Linked DNA regions of Arabidopsis thaliana. The main gene of each other region encodes a partner of the protein of the gene in region 2 in a complex. Each region holds a gene or a part of one and is shown on either strand. Other genes may lie near its edges.

Evidence for each region. The genes of interacting proteins can lie anywhere in the genome.
Region 1: AT5G17410 (region 2) and SPC98 share a complex: the UniProt entries of both Arabidopsis thaliana proteins name them as parts of the gamma-tubulin complex.

The regions. Positions count from the first base shown.
Region 1 is NC_003076.8:2,054,739-2,060,581, reverse strand, and holds SPC98 (spindle pole body component 98), read right to left. Parts: upstream 4,055-5,843; 5' UTR 3,842-4,054; coding exon 1,587-3,841; intron 1,475-1,586; coding exon 1,213-1,474; 3' UTR 723-1,212; downstream 1-722. Other genes in the region: AT5G06670 (P-loop containing nucleoside triphosphate hydrolases superfamily protein), read left to right, coding at 5,563-5,792. UniProt on the Arabidopsis thaliana protein: Gamma-tubulin complex is necessary for microtubule nucleation at the microtubule organizing centers (MTOCs). Required for the positioning of the gamma-tubulin-containing complex on pre-existing microtubules and for the proper organization of cortical arrays.
Region 2 is NC_003076.8:5,728,905-5,736,783, forward strand, and holds AT5G17410 (Spc97 / Spc98 family of spindle pole body (SBP) component), read left to right. Parts: upstream 1-1,705; 5' UTR 1,706-1,746; coding exon 1,747-1,830; intron 1,831-1,945; coding exon 1,946-2,004; intron 2,005-2,119; coding exon 2,120-2,168; intron 2,169-2,471; coding exon 2,472-2,606; intron 2,607-3,039; coding exon 3,040-3,171; intron 3,172-3,709; coding exon 3,710-3,793; intron 3,794-3,870; coding exon 3,871-3,969; intron 3,970-4,068; coding exon 4,069-4,160; intron 4,161-4,442; coding exon 4,443-4,515; intron 4,516-4,589; coding exon 4,590-4,742; intron 4,743-4,830; coding exon 4,831-4,950; intron 4,951-5,036; coding exon 5,037-5,090; intron 5,091-5,234; coding exon 5,235-5,318; intron 5,319-5,434; coding exon 5,435-5,509; intron 5,510-5,595; coding exon 5,596-5,706; intron 5,707-5,939; coding exon 5,940-6,065; intron 6,066-6,176; coding exon 6,177-6,284; exon of another isoform or gene 6,285-6,695; intron 6,696-6,749; coding exon 6,750-6,812; intron 6,813-6,888; coding exon 6,889-6,963; and 6 more. Other genes in the region: ER-ANT1 (endoplasmic reticulum-adenine nucleotide transporter 1), read right to left, coding at 111-395, 478-849, 937-1,200. UniProt on the Arabidopsis thaliana protein: Gamma-tubulin complex is necessary for microtubule nucleation at the microtubule organizing centers (MTOCs). Required for the positioning of the gamma-tubulin-containing complex on pre-existing microtubules and for the proper organization of cortical arrays.

The DNA of each region.
Region 1 (5,843 bases), 3.7 Mb from region 2:
TCTTATTTTCTTTCTTTATACAATTTCAAACTTAAAAACTCCTTTTTTTGATAATCAAGAAATTTCACATTTTTTTTTCTTTTCGTCGAGATTGAGCTTTGTTAATTAAGAATGGCTAAAGTCAAGGTACAATTGTTCAACCATTCAATTAGGAGGACAAGCATAATCAGAGTAGTAGTTACATTGAAGACAACCATGTTTGGCAAGTAAATGAGCTACTCTATTACAAGTTCTACGAGTGAATGAAAAGCTAATGTTTTGGAAGAAATTTCACATTTTGATTTCTATTTTATACTAATAATTTCAATTAACGATTAAATTAATCAATTCATTAATTGAGCATCATCGTCGCTTTGGCCGAGTGGTTAAGGCGTTTGCCTGCTAAGTAAATGGGGTTTCCCCGCGAGAGTTCGAATCTCTCAGGCGACGAATTTTTTCACCTTTTTTTTTTCCTTATATGTTAACCTCCAGTTTGGCCTGCACTTGCAAATTAATCGACAACCGTGAATTGTTTTTTCTTTTAAATTGGACACGATTGCTTTAGATTTTGAGACTGTAACTCTTGCCAAAAGCTACTTGTTTTTTGTTGTTCATATGCTTCATTCACACAGAGATAGATCAATGTGGATGAGAGGAAGAGTATCACAAAGGTTCTTCTTAATTGCAAGAGAAAGGCTTGCGGATTAAAATCACTGTGAGCTAATGCTTGTGCTCAATCTCAGGCCGTGGCTACAGAAGCTTCTAGATAGTGAAAAATTCAGAGTTTGGAGCCTTTTACACTATGGAGATACACATTATGAAGAAGCAACTGATTCCTTCTTATATCAACCAAGTCATAAAACAAATCATACAAATCAGTGAACCACAGAAGAAGAAAAAAAACTAAAGCTGGAGATCATCAGACTTATAGCACAAACTCAAACACAAACCTTCCCCAATTTACCAACACAAAGAATCTGTTTCCCAATCCTAAACTTTGAAACAAGCCATTGAAAAAACAATCTATGCAAAAGACAGAAAATCTATGAGGCAGTCTCTAAATAAGAAACAGATTCTCCCACGCACCTAGATTTTAAGAAAAGAACCTCTGCATCCCTGGTTCAGGAGAGCCCATGCTGCAGTCAGCGGTTAGTGAAAGACGTAGATAATGTCTTCTTCTCTTGCGATTGTGCAATATGCTTTTCAACTAAACCTGATACTCTTTCAACTTTCTTATCCTTTGGAATGCAATCGGCTGTAGAACTCAGTGAAGTCAAGCCGGAAAAAGAGAAACTTGAGATCTACAGATTGTTGCAGAGGCAAGAGAGATAGGAATCCATCAAGTGACGATGTGTATTCCTTTGCAATACTGTCCATATCTTGACTCATGCTTTGTAGAAATTCTCCAGCACGCTGTGTTAAGCCCTTCCTACCCTCACTGATCCATGAACCGGGCTCTTGCGATTTGTTTTTTTCTCGTCCTGATTCTTTAGATCTGCAGGAAATCGGTGATATTAGAGATCAAATTGTGACCCTAAAATCAGAGGAAAATGTTTGAGCAATAGTTTAAGGTCTACTTTTGTTTGAATATAAAAGACAAAACACACCTTATTTGCAACTCGTGAATTCCTTCATACAAACGATCTGCATGACTCCTGAACCGTAATATAAGCTCAAACAGGACGAAAAGTGATTCGCGGATGGTCTGTGACTGTTCACCCAGAAGAGATTTTCCAACAATGGCGTTGAGGTACTTCTCATGCGCTGCCAAGAGATCATCGAGGTCTTTAGCAGCTTCCATCTCTTTTGAGAAATTAGACCATGATACCTCCAATACCTCAAACATGATGTAATACTGAAAGTTAGTAACAAAATGGTTCATTTCATTCCAAAGGACCTGGCACCGCCTCAGGGCTGAGAGTAATTGCAACTTCACCGAACTTTGAAGCTTAACAAATGAGTTCGAAGTGATGCAATTTGGTTTCATGGTCTTCCAAATTCCGATAAGAGCATGCTCTACCCGTTTCAACTTCCAGAGAAAATTGAACACTCTCAGGTATTTAGACAAAACAGACTCAGTAAACACGGTATCTAATGGAACCCTTGCCTCGTATTCCAATGAGAATACATCCCAGCCTCTGTCTCCACTGCCATGAGGCATCATCTTCACTCTCAATCTGTCTAGCATGTCACGGTCATCATACTGTGCATTTGATGCTCGTATTGCAGCCTCAAGAAACCCAGCTAGCTCAAATGAACTAATATTATTGGCTGGCTCAGAAAGCTTGGGTCCTACAATATCCATCAAGTACTGGACAAAATCACCTTGACCAAGTAGTAAATAACGCTTAATCGCAAGACAATGCTCCTTAAATTTATATCTCTTATATAGAACATCCAACAGATGCTTGTCGATTCTCTTTGCTGCCTCGGTTACAAGATGTTCAAGTGCATCTGTTTCACCATACCCGAGACCTCCTCGCCTAGTTGTTGTCCCAGAGGCAGCTGCTGCTTCTGAAGCTGCATCAGCCCACCCGTGGTCATCACAGCAAACACGAAGAAAGTTTATAGATTTCCCAGTTCTCAGAATTCTCTGAGCTAGACTTGGTGAAATAAAAGATGGAAGCATTGCTGGGTGGAGCTTATAGCCTTCTCTCCAAAGCAAATCGACTTTAACCGGCTGACCTACGACAAAGAATTCACCAAAAGTATCTTCCAACTCCCCTTCTAGAACCCAACTTCTCACCATTTCAAATAGCGGAGAACACACACATCGAAGCAAACTCATCATAAAATCATGAACAAGCGGATCACCATGCTGTGCGTGCAAATGGATAGCCCCAGCCATCGCCCCACCTCTCAAAACCTTACACTTGTCAACCAAAACAGCCATCAGTCTCATTTTCACCATAGGCTCCGCAAACCATACCGACAACCTCCTCAAAGAAAGGTAATTGTTTGAGCTTGCTGATTCAGAAACCAAAGGAATAGGATTCATGGCCTGCGCTTCTAGCACAGCTAACAACTTATAATAATCAGAAAGCTCATCTTGCAACGCCGCACAAAACGCTTGCCCAACAGTTCCCACATCCTCAGCTGGAAACCGATCCATACTCTCAGTTATAAAAGTCTTAACCTTTCTAAACAACCAACCAAGCTCAGAGAGCATACGAACCATAATCCTCGTAGCTCGAGGCACCTTAACAGACTCCTGCACGGCATAACCGTCGATTTCACTGTTAAATTTGACATATTTCCCATCAATTCCTTGGCTAGCATACAAAACATCCCTCACTAGAACCTCCTCCGTCACTTCATTCTCTTCCTTAACCAAAATGGCATACTCTCTAAACGCAATATCCCTCAAATTCTCAGGATCTTTACTAACCAACAAAACCCCATTACTCCAATCCTTCTTCTTAGCCTCTCCACGGCTCAAAACCCCATTACCAGTATCACCAATCCCCAAATTAGGTAACAAAACCGAGGAATCAAGACCATTTATAGCCGATTTACGATCGTCAGAAACAATTTTAAGCAAATAAACAAGAGCCCATTTGTTATTGACACTGCCAGGTCCAGTTTTGGAAGCGAACTTAGTGTAGAGATCGGCAAAAGCGAGTGCGTCGGAGGACTTACCCTGAGTAGCGAGACGGCGTTTGAGAGACTCAGCGATAGCGGTGGCGTCAGGGAGGACGGAAGGAGTAAGACGACTAGAGAGGATACGAAAAGCGTAACGAAGGGTTTTGAGGAAGGCGGGAGAATTGGGATCGAGATTAGGGGTTTGAGGGTTTTGTGAGACGAGACGAAGAACAAGCTCTTGTACTAGATCTGCAGCCTTCTGCTGATCGTCGTCTTCCATAATCAATTCAAGCTTTTGCCTTTTTTTTCTTCTTCTTCGATTTCACCTTTTTTTGGATTTTTTTTGTTCTTCGAAGTTTTTTTGGTGAATTTGATTTTTGAAATCGAAAGAGGTTTTGCAGAGTTTGGGCGAGTGAAGAGAGTAGTGAGTGAACGAATAAAAAAAGATTGGGCTTCTTTTGGACTTTAGAGCTATGTAATTATTTTTCCTCGGCGGGCAATTGAATACATATGTTGAAATCCAAAAACATTGGAATAAAAAAACATTATGCAAAATATCTTCTCATTTTTTTTGTTATAAGTTTTATTTCAAATATATTATTTGAAACAACGGAGAAAAATAATGTTTGAATTAAAAAAAAGTTCACAAGTTAATTGATATGTTACGTAGAATTTTTTTGTTTAATGGAATTTTGAGAATTTTCCATTTTAAAATTAATAAAGAAATATATAAATATGAAAAAACCTCATAATATTTAATTCACAATAAAAGGTACCAATAAAAATGTATACTTTTTTAAAAAATTAACTAGCATTTAAAAAAGATTATTTGGTTTTATCTACCAAATTTATGTATTTATTGAGCAAAATAATAAAAACAGTTCATTTTAGACATTTGTTCTCTGAATAGAGGAATGATTTCTCTACTCATTTTAGGTAGTAAAATGTTTCTCTACTCATTATTTTCATCAATGAAGATGAAAATAAAGGAAGCTTATTTCCACTTTAATCAATTGTAAAAAGAAAAGTACAAGATCGGAATTAAAAAGTAAAAATATTAGACCTATTTTTACGTATGTGGAAAAATATTCCCTGTAACAATCACTTTCTACTTTTTTCACTAATTAATTTCTCTATATTCTGTTTGTTACAGATTGCACACCATTTATATATATACACTACTTTACTATCATTTCCATATCTTTATCTTTTTCACACCAATTTACTTCCTTATCTAATCATAATTGATTCAACAACAAAAGTTTAGAAGTTTATAGCTATTTATGACATAGAAAAATCCGTGAAGGCAAATACGTACAATTGTACATGTGTACGTATACGATTCTTCTCTTATCTTTATCTCTTAATGATGTTTTGGTGATTACAGTTTAAGAGAAGAACGAATAAACAATTGAAACTCGGGTATTATCACTTCAAACTTCAAAGGCAAGCGAGAGATTATTATTAAAAAGTAAACACTCTTTTACACAACAATCGCAATCATCTAACTAATTACTCTTTTAATGATGATTATGCTTTTCTCTTCTTTAAGTTCCTCTTCTTCTTCTTCTTCTACGTAATCACTCACTCTCTCTTGCATCATCATAATCCTTTGCATGCGATTCGGCTTTTAGCGGCGGTGATGCTACATTGAGTTAGTACCCACTTGCCTCTCTTCTTCTCTTTTATTGCAATTTTCGACCTAACCCAAGTGTTCGAAGCTCGTGGCATTTCCGTAATTCTCTTATTCCTCTCATTGTGATTCTCTCACTCGCTTACCGATTGAGCTTTGTAAACTCCCAATTTCATTGCTTTCCTGTCAATTTGCAAGTTGCTCTATGACAATTTGGAATCTTTAGCTCAGTTTGACAAAAAAAAAGGAATCTTTAGCTCATTACACAGTCGAGCATAATTCCGTTAGCTTGGTTTCAGTCTGTACTTGATAAAGTTTTGTACTTTCTTCATTTTTTCAGTCACTCGAAGTTTGAATTTGGTTTTGTGATGGGATCTAAACAAGTATCAAAGACTAGAAATGGTGGATTTAGCAAGTTAAAGACTGTTGAGTCCTCTGCATCTTCAACAACCTCGTCTTCAAAACTTTATCAAGAGGCGTCTGTAGATAGCCATAGCTCCCCTACTTCTTCATCGGTTCGAAGCAAGCCTCAGTTACCACCTAAGCCTTTGCAGTCCAAAGAAAATGTCACTGTCACTGTGCGTTTTCGTCCACTCAGGTGAATATGTTGATTTCTTTTGTGTAGGATTCAAACACTTTAGTTTTATAT
Region 2 (7,879 bases):
TCTGTTAATTAACACAATACATTGGAAAGCAAGTGAGACTTCTTGGTGTTTACTAACCTTCTCTTTTTGAGCTCAGCTTTCATTGTCATCGTTTCGGGTTTGGTCCAAAACTACTGAACCCAATGCTTATAAGCAATCTGGTGAAGCTGATCATATCCCGCAAGCACTCCTGCTCCTGCTACTCCAAGAAGCATGTTCGCAGTAACTCCTCTATATAGCGCATAGAACCCTTCCGACTTCAATATCTCTCTTAAGGCATGAATGGTGTTCCGGTATTTAACAGGTTGTCCTGATGTAAGCATCATTCTCCTCCTAAGTGTGTCAAAAGGGTAAGCAATGACGCCTGCAGAGGTAGTAATACTCCAACCCAATAGAAAACTAGCCAAGAAGTTTCCCTGTCACGGAATCAAAGAACCATTTTTAGCTATTTTCTGCTATAGATTAAGAAATAATAACGGCATACATAGATGACATTACCTCTAAGGAACCGACTAACACAATGGGTTTGATGGTGTCGTACATCCCAAAATACATTCCTCGGTAAAGAGTGATTCCCACTATTGACACACCAAATCCACGGTAAAGACCTTTAATACCGTCACTTGACAAAGTTTTACGATACACATCGATCATCCCTTTAAACTGTCTCTTGCCATTAACAGAACATTCCTTTGCATCAGTGCCTAAACGGGTCCGCGCATAATCCAAATGGTACAGAAACAAGGAAGTTGTTGCTCCAGCAGCACTTCCCGAAGCTACATTTCCAGCAAACCACTTCAAGTAACCATCTTTCTCTTTCGAACATCCAAGAAGGTTCTTGAAGTAACCTTTAAATGCAAAGTTGGAAGCCTAAAAGCAATTAAATTTAGTGACAATAAGAATCTAACACAAACCTCAGCACGCTGATCTAAAGTAAGGGTTCTTGGAATGTAGTACCTGTGTAGGGAAATATCGTATGACATTGGCTTGGTTTCCTCTCCAAAAGGACAAAACACCTTCTTCTCTATAGATTCTGGTAAAGCAATTACCCAAACCAGTGTAAGGTCTTATGAGATGTCCAGTCTTTATCATCTCCCCTTGATTCTGCAGTAAAAGCTTCACCCTTTCGATTGGAGCAGCTGCAGATTTGGCAACAATGGCTGCAGCACCACCCATCACAAAATCAGCAGAGAATCTCTCGGATTTTCCGATCAAAGCCATCCTCTTTTCCCTCACCTAATTCTATACCAATAAATATAGAGATGTTATGGGCAAGAGTTTCTTCTGGGTTCTAGAAATATCAAATCCTAAAGCTAAAAAGGAACAAAATTTGATAATAAAAGGAAAGGTTTTGAAGTGAAAAACCTGGAGATTGCTAATTGATTCTCCGCCGCAGAGAGAAGAACTCGGCGGCGAAAGATTGATTTCCAGGTCGAGGAGGAGAAGAAGAGGAGGCGATTTCGTTATTTCGTTTTGAGAAGCCAATAAAATAGAAAAGAGATAATCATTTTCTGTGAATTTCAAAGCTGGAGGTGGAGGACAGGGCAGGAGCAATGGCTGGTTTTTTCTTTCTTTACTTAAAAAAATGGTTTTGTCCTTTTTTAATTTCGAATTTGAAACCAGGATCTGGAAATTTCTGGTTCAATTAAAACCGGACATTTTAAGGAAAACCGGAGATGGTTCGGTATATGGTGACTGTCTGACTGATCTGTGTCTTCTTTTTCATAAAGGTTTAAACTTTTAGTTCCAGAGACTGGGAGCGAAGCAATGGAATCAATGACGCCAATCTCGTGCCCTACGACTCCTCGTTGGAACCAAGACAGACCATTTCTCACTGGTCGCTTCCATCAGGTGCTCGATCTTCAGATGTGCTTGATTTTAGTTCTCTAATTCGTTCAAATTCTATTTAATTGTGAACATTGGTAACTTCTGAGAAAAAGTAGTTTTGACAATGGGTTTATCTCAGGAAACGAGGGCAAGCTCCAAGTTTGCTGATTCTAAGAGGTTTACTTTAGACTCGTCTAGGTATTTTGAAATTTTATACTAAAAATTAGTAATACATCTCTGTTTTAACCTCCCAAAGTCTGTTCCTTTTTCATCTTATTCTAAAGAGTCATTGACCTTTATATTTTGCTTTCAGCAGTTCTGGAGTAGAGCAGGCAATTGGCTGCTATGACACACCGGTTCAGGTTTGTGTTATTTTACAAAGCAAGTCTGTCCCTTTTTTTCTTGGCTTCCACTTATTCTGTGAGATTGTTATTATGTAACCTTGAAACTAGTGTTGGGGTCCTTAAAGCTTGGGTTTGAGTTGTGTAGTTTTTACAAGTTGGCATCATTGTAGGTGAAGTTGGTTTCTCGTTTTCGTGGCATAGACTAGGATAATTGACCTGAGCTAAACAATTGTGGAACTTCCTAGCCTAGGTTTAGAATTGGTGTCACCTCTTTTGTTATGTCCATTTCAGTAACTGTTTTTTATTCCTTTTGGCATGCAGGAGCTTATCGTCATTGATGATCTCTTATCTGCGTTGGTTGGAATTGAAGGGAGATATATTTCAATTAAAAGATTCCATGGGAAGGAGGATAGTATAGCTTTCCAAGTTGATCCATCAATGGATTTGGCACTACAGGTAAGTAGTACTCAACACAATAACTTTTGGTTCCTATCCCAAACATTTTTATCATGATGGTCTACAGTAGTCAACTGCAAAAAATCTGTGATTTCTAACCATGCTTGATCTGTTCTTTCTTAGAGCTACCGGAATTAGTGCATATGTATCATGTATGTACAAAGTCTTTCACATATTGAGACTGTTACAGTGATGTTTGCAAAGTGTATATTTATGTTTATGAAACTTGATGCATTTCATTGGTGTTCTGACTTCTTGAAAGTTCAATTATCTCCGAAGTCCAATAAAATGGACACATGCATTACTATGTTATGTCTAGGATGGTTCTCTCTTTTGAATAGGATTTTTAGAGATGTTATAACGGATTAACATTGTAATTCTTTATTTAATTGGCTCTTCTCATATATATTGACCGTTGCAAATAATTTTGCAGGAATTGGCGAAAAGAATATTTCCTTTATGTGAATATTATCTGCTGATTGACCAATTTGTGGAGTCAAGCTCGCAGTTCAAGAACGGGCTAGTTAACCATGCATTCGCGGCTGCACTCAGGGCACTCCTCCTTGTATGTGATATAGGTTGCTAGCTTTGTGGAAATTGTGATCCATTGTTTGTTGAGTTATTTTTCGTTCCCTTTCTGTTACAGATGGGGGATTTTGCGAACTGGATATGGATTTTTTTAACTAATAGTCAAGTTTGGGGATTTACTCAGTAAACTAAAAATATGAACTTGGAAAGCTCATTTTAGAATGCTCTTAGTTTGTTTATTGGGTTTCTTTCTTGTCCACTGAATTGGTGTTTTTTTATCACATTTCTGAGTGTGTGTATATGCATATGTATGAATATCTAAGATGACACATATAGCTCTTACTGTCTTCTTTGTTCCAAGTTCTTACTGTCTCTCTAATCCCTCTCTTACTATTGCCGCATTGAATAAACTGATAGTCTGATTCTTTTCTTTCCATTTCACATCTTGAGTTTCGTGTCTAACACATGTCATGCATTTTTTGGACTGAGGATATCATTTTATGTTAGCTTTGAGGTAATTTGACAACATTCTTTGCTATTGTTACACTAGTATTAACCATCCTCTCTTTTACCAGGATTATCAAGCCATGGTGGCACAATTGGAACATCAATTTCGACTTGGAAGACTTTCTATCCAAGGATTATGGTTTTACTGTCAGGTCTGTCTTTCTTCAAATAATCCAAGCTACAAGTTACGTAAACATTATGCTGATCGATTGTTTTTCGTATCTCTCAGCCCATGATGGGATCCATGCGCGCATTGGCTGCAGTAATTCAGCAGGCTTCAACGAAGCAGTTTGTGGGTTCTGGTGTTCTTAATCTCTTGCAAAGTCAGGTAGATTCCTGCTTTGGTCATTAAAAGTTTTTGGATTTTTTTGGTACTAGAATTAGCTTTTTTATTAAATGTCCTAATCTTGAAGACTATCATGCCTAGGCTAAAGCGATGGCTGGTGATAATTCAGTGAGGTCATTGTTAGAGAAAATGACGGAGTGTGCAAGCAACGCATACCTAAGCATATTGGAAAGGTTGATTACCATGCCTCTTTCTTTCTTGCTCGTAACTAGACTCCCATAAAAAAAACATTGTGCTACAATCTCTGCCCTTTCCCTTTTGTTATTGCTTGGAATGCTCAGATAAATCTAAGTCCAACCTGTGACTATGTTTTTCCTTTGTTTGGATGGAGTGATTAGCGAACATGTTTGTTATCTTTTGGTTTGGCAGATCTGTACATGGTTACCCTATTTGCTAGATCGCTTATATTATTATTCTTTGATGTGTCAACTAACTTTAAATAGTGTTTAATTAAGGTGGGTCTATGAAGGGATCATTGATGATCCGTATGGGGAATTTTTCATTGCCGAGAACAGGTCTCTCAAAAAGGTACTTCGATTGCTCAGCTCGTCTGCACTATTGTTAATTGCTTGATCTAACAATGTCAATTTTTTTTTGTACAGGAGAGCCTCAGTCAGGACTCTACAGCTAAATATTGGAGCCAAAGATACAGCCTTAAGGATACTATTCCTGGCTTCCTAGCAAACATTGCTGCAACAATATTGACCACAGGGAAATATCTAAACGTTATGAGAGAATGTGGGCACAATGTTCAGGTATGATTGTGAATGAATTTCCTGTTTATTAATACAATTAACAGTGTTTGTGACACTGGACCCGACATTGGCTGATTTTTTTTAACAGGTTCCCATATCAGAGAGATCTAAGTTAACAATATTTGGGTCAAATCATCATTATCTTGAATGCATAAAGGCTGCTCACGAATTTGCCAGTATAGAGCTTGTGAATCTCATCAAGGATAAGGTAATACTTATTTTGTTTTATGATGACTGCTTCTTTGATGTCGTTCCTCGTCAATACACCTCTCTGACCATCAGTATATGATTCAGTATGACCTTGTTGGAAGGCTTCGATCTATAAAGCACTATCTTCTTCTCGACCAGGTATGCTGGTTCTGTTCATGAATAACCAGTTATCTTCAGAGTTCTTCAGAATTTCCTAGGCACAAATTTATCAATGTGAAAAGTCTGTTGTTGAGTTGTTTTCTTCAGTCATTGATTTTGGTATAACAATGTAATGAACTACAGGGTGATTTCTTGGTTCATTTTATGGACATTGCTCGAGAGGAGCTCAACAAAAAAGTGCATGAAATATCTGTTGAAAAGTTGCAGGTACTTTTTTCCCCTTTAGAGCATGATTCAAAATATTAGACAAAGCTTCTTACCATTATTAAATCGTTATGGCCTCTACTTGTTTGCTGGAATCTAAATGGATGTGTATTATTTAGTCTTTGCTAGATCTTGCTCTACGTACCACAGCGGCTGCAGCAGATCCTCGTCACGAAGACTTGACTTGTTGTGTGGTGAGCAGTTAATTTGTCTTTTCCTGGATGTGATGAATTTACAGAGTTTGTACATTATATGTTCTCACTTTGTATTCATATCTTAGGATCGAGCTTCATTGCTTACGACTTTGGGAATGCACAAGGACACTGATAGCAATAGTATTGAGGACCCAATGAGCATCACTGGTCTAGAGACATTTTCCTTGAGCTACAAGGTCTGCTCCTTTCTTGCCTTGTCTGCAACTACCTGTTTGTATCTGGATTCGAACTATTTTGTTCGTCGAGATATATATAAGTAATAACACAGCTTAATGGCTATTAATGGTTGTTATATATAACTACTAATGCATTTCTAGAGTCATCATTCATACTTATATAAGTAATCGACAAATGCATATTCGATTGGCTACTCAATTGTTTGATTGTTGGTTGTGGCTTTGTGTTTCAGGTTCAATGGCCACTATCTATTGTCATATCAAAGAAAGCATTGTCAAAGTACCAGTTAATTTTCCGCTTTCTTTTTCATTGCAAACATGTGGAACGCCAGCTTTGTGGTGCTTGGCAGATACATCAAGTAAGGACTGATATAATATTGTGTAGCTTGTAATTTGTTTCAGTTTTGGTTTCTTCTAAAACCATTTTAATCATTTTGCTTCGCTAACAAACTGCTGTGAAAATTCTACAGGGGATTCGGTCTATGAACTCTAAGGGTACAGCAATTCTTAGATCATCGCTTCTCTGCCGTAGCATGCTTAAATTCATCAGTAGCCTTCTACATTATCTTACATTCGAGGCAAGTCTGAATGTTCTTTTTGTTTTGTTTTGTTTGTTTTTTAAAACATTTTTTTTTGCTAATAGAATGGAATCTGAATATTTTTTTGTTTTTTAAAGATTCTGATTGTCTATTCATAGATCCTGTTTTCCATTGTGATTTTGCGGTGTAAGTCTCTGGAAAACTAACTTCTAGAATTGCTGACATACACTCTGTATATTGAATCCAGATATCTCTGTAGTCGTAAAAACCATACTTACAAATGTAGGCACTTCTTGCAACTGTGTTTTTCGAGAAATACATTCTTGAAAACGTGATTCTGGAGAAATAAGTACACTATCAATGAACAGAGGAGAGAAATCACACCAGAAGTATATAAAGACATAATTCTTTATGAGATGATTTGGTGTTTATTTTAGCAACTATTGCCTCTCTAAGTTTTTCTAATGTTGTTTTTGCTTGTCTTTATGTGGGATGTCTCTTCAGGTTCTCGAACCAAATTGGCATGTAATGCACGATAGACTACAATCCACAAGGAGTGTAGATGAGGTAAGTGTAGAGACCTGCTTTGTTTTGGTTTGCAGGGAAAACATTCTTCATTGAACAATGTGCCATCATCTTGCAGGTGATACAACATCACGACTTTTTTCTTGATAAATGTCTGAGAGGATGCTTGCTTCTTTTACCTGACGTCCTTAAGGTTTGTCGCTGTTCCACTAAATGTTATGTTTTCTCAGGACAGATGTAACAGTGTGATGTGCTTCTCTTTCGTGCAACAAGAGCAAAAATTCTGAACGCACTAATAATAGTGTAATGTTTATCAATATTTTACACTCATATTTACTGATGGTGCAGAAAATGGAGAAGTTGAAATCAGTGTGTCTGCAATATGCTGCAGCCACACAGTGGTTGATATCATCGTCTATCGACATCAATAGCCAGTCTCATCCACAGAAGACAATGATAAGAGACACAACCGTTACAGAGTCCATATTGTAAGTAGTAACAAGGAATTGTTTTTCAAACTAATGGCTACACTATCTCTACAAAAGCCGTTGCTGTTAGAATTTTTGAACTTCATTATCACGGTATTGTTCTAATATGTCTGTTACGTGTTCTACCAGCAATTTCGAAAGGGAGTTCAACTCGGAGTTGCAGAGCTTAGGACCAGTCTTGAGCAAAGGCTCCCAGGCTGAGCCATACTTGACTCATCTCTCCCAGTGGATCCTTGGTGTTTCGAAAGAATAAGAGGTGAGACTTTAACTAAACAAACTCAGGCAATTCAATTTGTTTTTTAATGTTATCAAATGATATTCAGCTTGAGAAGTTGTTATGAGATGTGTGCGTGTGTTTAGGCTTTTGTTGTCGTTTCTTTATTTTGTTTGTGAACTCCACGATATAAGAACAAGTCTCAGGCTCTCTGTTAAAAATTTGCATTCAAGATTTGTGGGTTTTCACTGCAACTACATGTCTCTTGAGGGAAGTATCTGTGAATCTTTTACTGTGTAACTAAAAAGTAGTTTTGTTCAAATTTTCTTACAATGCATTACTCGCTCACAATAAACCCAGATCCATCTGTTTTACTGGCTAATATACAATAAACAAAATCCAATTAT